2 linked regions of the Nothobranchius furzeri genome follow. Each later gene encodes a partner of the first gene's protein in a complex. Links are inferred from orthologs where the notes say so. Each region holds a gene or a part of one and is shown on either strand. Other genes may lie near its edges.

Region 1 (4,309 bases):
CTGCTTCGTGTCTATCGCAGATGTAGAACATCACCGGGAGCGTTTCTCCCTTCATTAAGGAGCTTCTTTCAGACATGAGGAGAGCTGTTTTGGTGGTAACGGTCTCTCCTCCATGCTGGTCTGTTTGCTGCTGGGTGTTTTTGGTTTATTTAAACTTGGTAACTTGAACTTAACGTTGGTAAAGCTACTGTTAGCATCTTCGCTAACAGCTTCTTGCGTTGGGATAAGCTGTTACGTTTTGGTTTAGAGTTCATCTTTTTTTGTGGTGCAGATCTCCCTTTTATTACATTTAGAGTGTTGTGGGTTTTCGGTTTAGTGTAAAATATCACCTGAGTTTGGTTTAACCCGTAAGACCACTCGCCTCACGCACATAAGTGACCAAAACAAAGCAGCATGGAGACACTCCATCTTCTACCACCTCTCAGGCAGCAGCCTGCACTCCCAAGTTCTACACGTCACCAGAACATAACCAACCAACACAATAAAAGCATGGAAGGCCTGTAGTGTTTATTCTCTTACAGTAAGAATTTATCAATTTTTTTGAGGAATTTATTTGAGATTTTCTGGTTTTTGTTAATTGTGCAATAGAAAAATAATCATTAGATTAATTTTCTAAATAGTCATTAGAATAGTCGACTATTCGATAAAATAATCATCAGAATAATCGTTTTAAAAATAATCGTTTACCCCCAGCCCTACTAAACCGGTTGTTTTCTACGCTTTACTAAGCACAGAGCAAGTGCTGTCACTATGAGTTGTTGACTCAGACTTTTCTTTCATTTATATGCTTTAAAAGCCAGTAGTTTAATTTTGTGATTTAATTGAAAGTTTTGTTTGTTCTTATTTGCATAAAAGACATTGTAATTATCGTTACTGTGTTCTTTATGTGACCGTGATTTCAGTCAAACTACAGCTGGTTATGTTTTCTTGGCTTTATTTTAAGCGAAAACAAGTACTGTAACTGAGTTTGTGACTCGGAGTTCTGTTAAAACCAGAGTTGGCTATGTTTTGCAGTTTCTATTATTTTCACTAAAAACCAGCAGTTAATCCTAATGTCATTTGACTTGTTTCAATAAAACTGTTGAAAATGCAGCGGCACTTTGTTTTAATAGGTAAATATGAGATACGGGGAAATGTACGGCCCGCTGGCAAAAGCCTCATGATAATTTGGCCCAACAAAAAATCTAACCGAGTAGCCCTGCGTTAAAAGCTGTACTCTGGCCCCATGCATGCGCGGGTTTCCTCCGGGTACTCCGGTTTCCCCCACAGATCACAACACGCCCTATAGGTTATAAATTGTAAGTCGCTTTGGATAAAAGCGTCTGCCAAATAAATAAACATAAACATACTTGTGACAAACGGGCAACTTTAAGGTCACGTGACCACCACTACTGCTCAGCAAAAACTACGTCCTCGAGACTGTAAACACCCAGACCCTGGAGCAGAACATGATAACAACATATAAATGATGAAAACTCAGCAACAGAGCTGAGGCGGACTTTCGGCATTGCCATGGAAACCTGTAAACACTCCAGCTATCCAGCTTTGATCAAACAGCTGGTGGCATGTTTTAGTTCTGATGTCTTTGTAGTCCTCGTAAATCTTCCTCTATCCAGATGAAGGACGAGGCTCTGTACCTTCTTCCATTCTCATTTATCTAGTATCGATTAACAGGGTCTGCCTGTGGGCCTTGCTTTAAATAGAGATGATTCCACTCGAGCATCGTTGGTGGTACGGAAGCATGGATTCATTATAGCGCTGACGTTCTGAGCTCACTACGTGGAACCCCCTCCCCCCGGTGTAGATGGACCAGATATGCACACGGCCCTGATTTAGATCAAAACCGTTGGATCATATATACACATATATCATATATAATAATAGTACTAGTAATAGTAGTAATAATAATAGTAATAATAACGTTTAACACAATCAGAATCTAAAAACCACGACACCAGCCCTTTACCTCATAGAATGTGTGTTTTACTTGAAGTCAAGGGTTAAAACTGACGTGTGAGAAATCTGAAATCCTGACAACACCTGCTGACCTTTGACCCCAGCTCCACTCACTCACCGTTTTAGAGGGCACGTAGGCGTACGGCAGGCTCCTGTCCTCACACATGATGGGCAGGTGACAGTACACGTCGATGGGCAGCGTGTCGCCCGCCAGGACCACGATGCTGCAGAGACCAGACCGGGTTCAGGTGAGCACAGGTGAGGTTCTAACGCGCGGATGACTACGGTGTCCTGAATGGTTCAATGCGCTAAAACTGAATAATGTTCACATTTAAATACATAAAAAAAAAATTAGTGCGGAACTTCTTCTGAGGGACAGAAAACAGTGACGGACCGGACCACTACAGTAATGGGGACTGAGGTTCTGGACGGACCCGGGCACCGTGAAGCTAACTCACCCTTTCTCTCCTTTCTTGATGAACTTCTGAACTTCTTTCACGCCCCTCCGGATGTTCTTCACCTTAGCAGCTGAAATCAAAACACCGGGTAAAGAAGCGGGACACAAGCACCGGTCTAACGGGTCTCGGTGGTCTTTTACCCTTTTTCACGCACTTGTAGAGCTTCTTGCTGAGCTTCCTGGAGGCCAGCGGCTGAGAGATCGGGTTCAGGTGGGAGACCAGCTCCTGGTAGGTCCTCTCGGAACCACCGGCCGATGCGACCGAATCATTTGGATCCGCGTTTTCCTTCTTCGTCTTCGTCATCTCTGATAATCAATAACCGATTGTTGCTTTCTGCTTTCACCCAGCACGCACGTGTTTTAACTCTTGTCCCGGACTAACAGGACCATTGGACCACAGCGCCCCCGGCGGCCAGGAGCGGAAATGTCGGCAAAGTCTACAGAGGGCCTGTAGACGCGCGCGCGCGTGTGTGTGCGTGTGCGTGTGTGTGTGTGTGTGTGTGTGTGTGTAGAAGAAGAAAGTATCATTTCTATAGCGCCTCTCAGGATGAAAATCACGAGGCGCTTCACAAAAAAAAGTGTAAAACATAAAAAAATAATTTAGAAAATGGTTAAAATATGTTTAAAATGAGCAAAAAATAGACAATTGTGATTAAAAAAATGTAAAGAAAGAGAGAGAGAGTGAATAGATAGGGAAAGATCCTGAGGAAGGTGGAATAGGTGGGGAGAGCAGAATAAAGAGAGTGGTGAAGAAGGTCACACAAAAGCCAGCCTGAACAAGGGCAACACCTCTGAAGATAAGAGTCAAGAGGTGCTTCACAAGAACAAAACTAAAACATGATTAAAAACACATAATAAATTGTGAAAATGGAAAATTTAACATAAAAATGAGAGGGAAGAAAGAAAACGAGTAAGAAGAGGTAGCAGCACCTGAACAGGTGAGCGTTCAGCTGCATTTTAAAGGAGACCACTGGATGTAAAACAGCTGGTGGTCTGTTTTAGTTCTGACATCTTTGTAGTCCTCAGAGACACAAATGTATGATTATTGCTCCGTCTGGGAGAAGAACGATGCTCTGTCCTCTTCTTCCATACTCATTTATCTGCAGTGATGTGACATTCACGAGCAAATCAAATCTTTTGGTTTTCAAAGTGAACAATGAGAGCCGAGTCTCTGTAGAGAGCCGTTCATCTTGTCTTCCAGTACCAAGCCTCCCCGGAGGTCGGCAAAGCGCACCCGCTCAACCCCCACCCAGCCCGTGACGGACGTGGACAGAACGCTACCCATCCCAACCACCGTGCGCCCTCACATAAAAACCTTTTCTTTGATCTCACTTCTGATTTAGTGGAATGTGTGTGAGAAAAATGTTACGAAGCATTTTAAAGATGCAACAAATTCCACACAGCAATAATTATTATCTGTAAAATGTTGCTAGTTAACTCATTAAAGAGCAAGTCACCCCCTACCAGAGGCTTACTCCACTCCCACTTCCTGTTTGAAAAGTGCAACAAATGCTGTTGCCTGGCAGAGTGAGAGGGTGGAGCCACTAACAAACACACAAACACACAGGCTCACAACAGCATTGTGACATCATATAGTACCAGCTTATGTCATAGTGTACCTCAGTGTGTCCCAACCCTGGTCCTCAGGGACAACTGTCCTGGATGTTGTCCATGTCTCTGCTTCAGCACACCTGATTTACATCGGCTCTTCAGAAGGACATCAAGTGCTGCAGATGCCCGTTAATCACTGCTTCATTTAAAGGCCCCTTGTGTGAAATTCACAGAAATCATAGTAAAAAGATCCGACTCTTTAGCACCACGCAGTTTAGAGTCGGTATTGCAGCTATTGGAGCCCCCGAGGATCAAAAAGGTTTTTTTAATCATTATTTAAAACTT
Region 2 (3,880 bases), on another chromosome or scaffold:
AACATAAAGTTAGAGTCTGCTGTGAGGTTTTCTGTTCCTATCTGTGTTTTCAGGGGACATTTTAAAAGGAAACACATGTGAAGGAAGGTTTTGGCATGAAAACCTGTGCAGAACCAACCCTCTCTCAGACTTAGGAGGCTGCTTTTAAGTACCAGAAAAAAATAAACAAAGACAACAAGACTGAAGCAACAAGTACTTTGTAACACCGCACACTCGGCTAAGGTTGCAAATATCTCCTCTGACTTGGTTCTTTAATTGGTTCTTATATTAATTTAAAACAGCAATTTGAACATATTTGTTTCACTAGATAGGCTTAATGAAGAAAAATAAGTGTTCTCAGTGGAAAAAGATGTACCGGTAATAATTTAATGAATGAATTTTCATGGACTTACCTTTCTCGTTTGACATGAGTAGTTTATGGTGAATGCTGCAAAAACAGATTCCAACTTTATGTCTGTTTGAAAGTAAACATCATTATTGTTTAATTTTGAATGTGAGCTTTTGGATTTCATAATTCTGGAAGAACTGGATTTAAAGAGCAAGTCAACCCGTACCAGATTCTAACTCCACTCCCACTTCATGTTTGAAAAATGCAACAAATGCTGTTGCCTGGCAGACCGAGAGGGCGGAGCTGCTAACAAATACACAAACACACAGGCATTGTGACATCATAACGTACCAGTTTACATCATAGCATACCTCTTAGCCAATAGCGGTGGCAGATTTAAATTAGAATACAGTGCAGAATTTTTACCTGACAACGGCACAACACTGACAGTTTTAGGCAGAATATCTAAATTTTAACTAAGATGCACTGAAGTGCCAAATTATTGACGGCACATGTCTGCAGCACGATTAGACACTCGTTTATTTAGTTTATCAGCAAAAAAAGTTTATTTGGGGGTGACTTGTTCTTTAAATAGTTTTTATATTTTATTTGTTTTATAGCACAGCAGAATTTTCATGCAGATGTTCAAGAATGTGTTTGGTTGTTTTGGTTAAAAACACATTGTGTTTTGTTTTGAAATTGGACCAGTAAAAGTTACTCTGTTACTGATTCAGCTAAGGGCCAAAATACTTTATTTGTTCTCGGAAGAAAATTAAATGTTGTAAATCGATATTCAGAAACAATAATTATAACAATCTAATAAATATTGTTATAATAATAATCATCTCATATAATTCAAGATTCTTCAAAGAGTTGTTATAGATGCTGGTGGGTCTGTAAAACGTTGAGAGGTGGTTAGAATAAAGCATAAAAGTTCTGAAAATGCACTTTTATTAGTGTGTGATATTCAAAAGAGCCTAATTTGCGAGTAAACTCAGTTCCCCATGATTCCAAGCGGCCTGATCATTAAACCGGATATCCGACTAGAAAGTTCGTTGCACGTGGATCCACGTTTTCTAGCTTCCTAAAATAAAGTTGGATTTTTTAAAACTTATAAAGCTTCATATCAAGACTTTTCGTCATGTTTTTGCAGTTTTATCTTAACGAGTCTGGAGACAGAGTATATACTCTGAAGGTAATTTGTGTGTGTTGTTCGTAACATGTCTTCTCTCCTATCAGTTTCACGTTTTAGCTCATTACATTTAAATTTATTTTGTTGGAAAACGAAAAGTAACATCACGTGGCTTCTATTAAAACATAAAGGAGCAAGTCAAACCAAAAAAATCTCAAGATGTGTTATTCGTGTTGTTTTCACGTTAGCCTCACATGTAGCTAACATTGATAGCAACTAGTATCTAACATGGATAGCAGCTGAGCTAACAAAGCATGGCAATGCCGCTTTATTTATAAAGGCTACTTCATACCAGGCAATTCAAAGTGCTTTCCATGTGCAGCCAGCAAAATAGCGGCGAACATGGACAGTTGCAATTAGTGGCTAACGTGGAAAGCTTGTAGCGAACCAGTATAAACACAAATAGTTATATCCCAGATCGCCTTTGTGTGTTTTTGGACAAACACATTTGATTTTAGCTTCTGATTTATACCATATAAAAATCCTTTGCTTTTAATACGTCAATAACCGAAACGTAACAGTTTAAATTAATACGTCAATAACCGAAACGTAACATAGTTTAGTGAAAAATGCGTAAAATTTAGTTTTTACGCATGAAATAAAAAACTCTTTACATGTTTTAAAAGCTGATTGTACTTGCAACTGAATAGGTTATTACTGTAAATCAGAGTAGTGTTACAAGAAAATGAATCAAACATATGTTAGTGAGGGTTTATTTTATTGTATACCATAATAGCCATCATATTCTAAAAGGTGAATTTAGGTGTTACACTTAATTTCATCCACGTATCTTATTTCGTTGGTGAAATGTAAAAAAAAAAAGCTGACATATGCCTTTATTTTTCAAATCAGTGTTCTTCCCTAATGCACACATATTTCCCTTCATCTTTGCCTCCAACAGAAGGCATCTCCTGATGGGCAGCCCACCAGCTCTGCCCATCCGGCTCGTTTCTCTCCGGATGACAAGTTTTCCAGACACCGAGTGCAGCTGAAGAAACGCTTTGGCATTCTGCTCACCCAGCAGCCCAGGCCAGTCCTGTGAGGGAGCTGGAAAGAGTGGAGTGAGGAGGCATGGATGGATGAAGAGCTGAAGATGGCAACATGGATTTTGAAAGGACACTTGGTGTGTTGGACTTGCTGGTTTGGATCGATTACATGAGGTCTTTAGATTTTAGTAGAGGTTATTGTCATTTTTTATGCTTAAAAATGTTTGATGAATTTTCTTGAATACTGTTTGAATTCAGGATTTGATGGCTAATTCTCCTTTATTGCATACATTTAAACAAGTAAGGTATACTTGACATTGTCTGCAGTAAAATAATACTATGTTAGCTCCTATAACCTCTATTTGTATGCCAGTTTTATTTTGGGGGGGACGACGACATATAAGAAAATTTGAGTAGAAATAACATTTATTGTGAATATAAACTAGAATTTGAAATATAAGGTGTTTACTATTCAGTCATGGTGTGTAATTTATGAGCTGCAGACAGTTTCCCAGAGGTATTTTTGTTTGTGCTAAATGAATCTTGACTATTCACAAAACACTCAGTCAGTGACTGTTGAATGTCATGTTTTGGTTTCAGTAACATCTTGGACTAACTGAAAAGACAAAATGAACAGTAAAATAATTAACACCCTCAAAGCACACTTGTTATTTTGATCCATGTACTCAAAATACCCAGTGAGTGTTAAAATGTTGTGTTTTTAATGAAAAATTGCATCATTTTTTTCAACCTTTATTTTTTCCAGATAGTGTTTGATAATATTCTCATTTACAAACATCACCTGTCCGAGGTAATTTTGAGGTGCAGCGGAAAAACATTAGCTCATTTCAGCTATGTTGCTTTTTCTTAATATTGTTTAATTCGAACTTTATGAGCTAATATTTGCTAATTTATCAGTTTGAACATTTTAATGTGAAAATCTATTTCCGCGTGTTTTATGTTCAATATGAACTCATCCTTCTTGATGCAAACTGGTTTTGTGCTAAACTCAGGAAACTTGCTAAATTGTTGGAATAAAATAACGTAAACAACTTGTTTACGTAAAGACCACATCTCCCCTCACTATTGTCACTGAGTAAAACGACGCATGCGCAAACTTGCAACGGCAAGGGAACTAGGACCTGACGGGCTCACTTGCGTGAGTGTTTTTGGTGGGTTGCTTGGACGAAAAAGTGCAGAGAAAAAGCAGCACAGATGTCACCGGGAACTGCCGTACCCAGTAATGTTGTCTGAGGGAAACGTGAATCAGGTATGAGTTTGACCGTGGTGATGTGTGACATTTTTCACGGGGTGAAATTGTCGTTGCTGCTTGAGTGCTAGCTGGAAGCTCCGGAGGAGTTGACTGTTTATTAT

The links.
Region 2: nhp2 (region 1) and nop10 share a complex: the UniProt entries of both Homo sapiens proteins name them as parts of the H/ACA small nucleolar ribonucleoprotein (H/ACA snoRNP) complex. The link is inferred for Nothobranchius furzeri from reciprocal best matches to the Homo sapiens genes NHP2 and NOP10.

The regions. Positions count from the first base shown.
Region 1 is NC_091750.1:25,734,439-25,738,747, reverse strand, and holds the start of nhp2 (H/ACA ribonucleoprotein complex subunit 2-like protein), read right to left. Parts: upstream 2,831-4,309; 5' UTR 2,718-2,830; coding exon 2,555-2,717; intron 2,485-2,554; coding exon 2,415-2,484; intron 2,215-2,414; exon of another isoform or gene 2,181-2,214; coding exon 2,075-2,180; intron 1-2,074. UniProt on the Homo sapiens protein: Required for ribosome biogenesis and telomere maintenance. Part of the H/ACA small nucleolar ribonucleoprotein (H/ACA snoRNP) complex, which catalyzes pseudouridylation of rRNA.
Region 2 is NC_091742.1:80,334,306-80,338,185, forward strand, and holds nop10 (H/ACA ribonucleoprotein complex subunit 3), read left to right. Parts: upstream 1-1,341; 5' UTR 1,342-1,469; coding exon 1,470-1,523; intron 1,524-2,421; coding exon 2,422-2,562; 3' UTR 2,563-3,165; downstream 3,166-3,880. UniProt on the Homo sapiens protein: Required for ribosome biogenesis and telomere maintenance. Part of the H/ACA small nucleolar ribonucleoprotein (H/ACA snoRNP) complex, which catalyzes pseudouridylation of rRNA.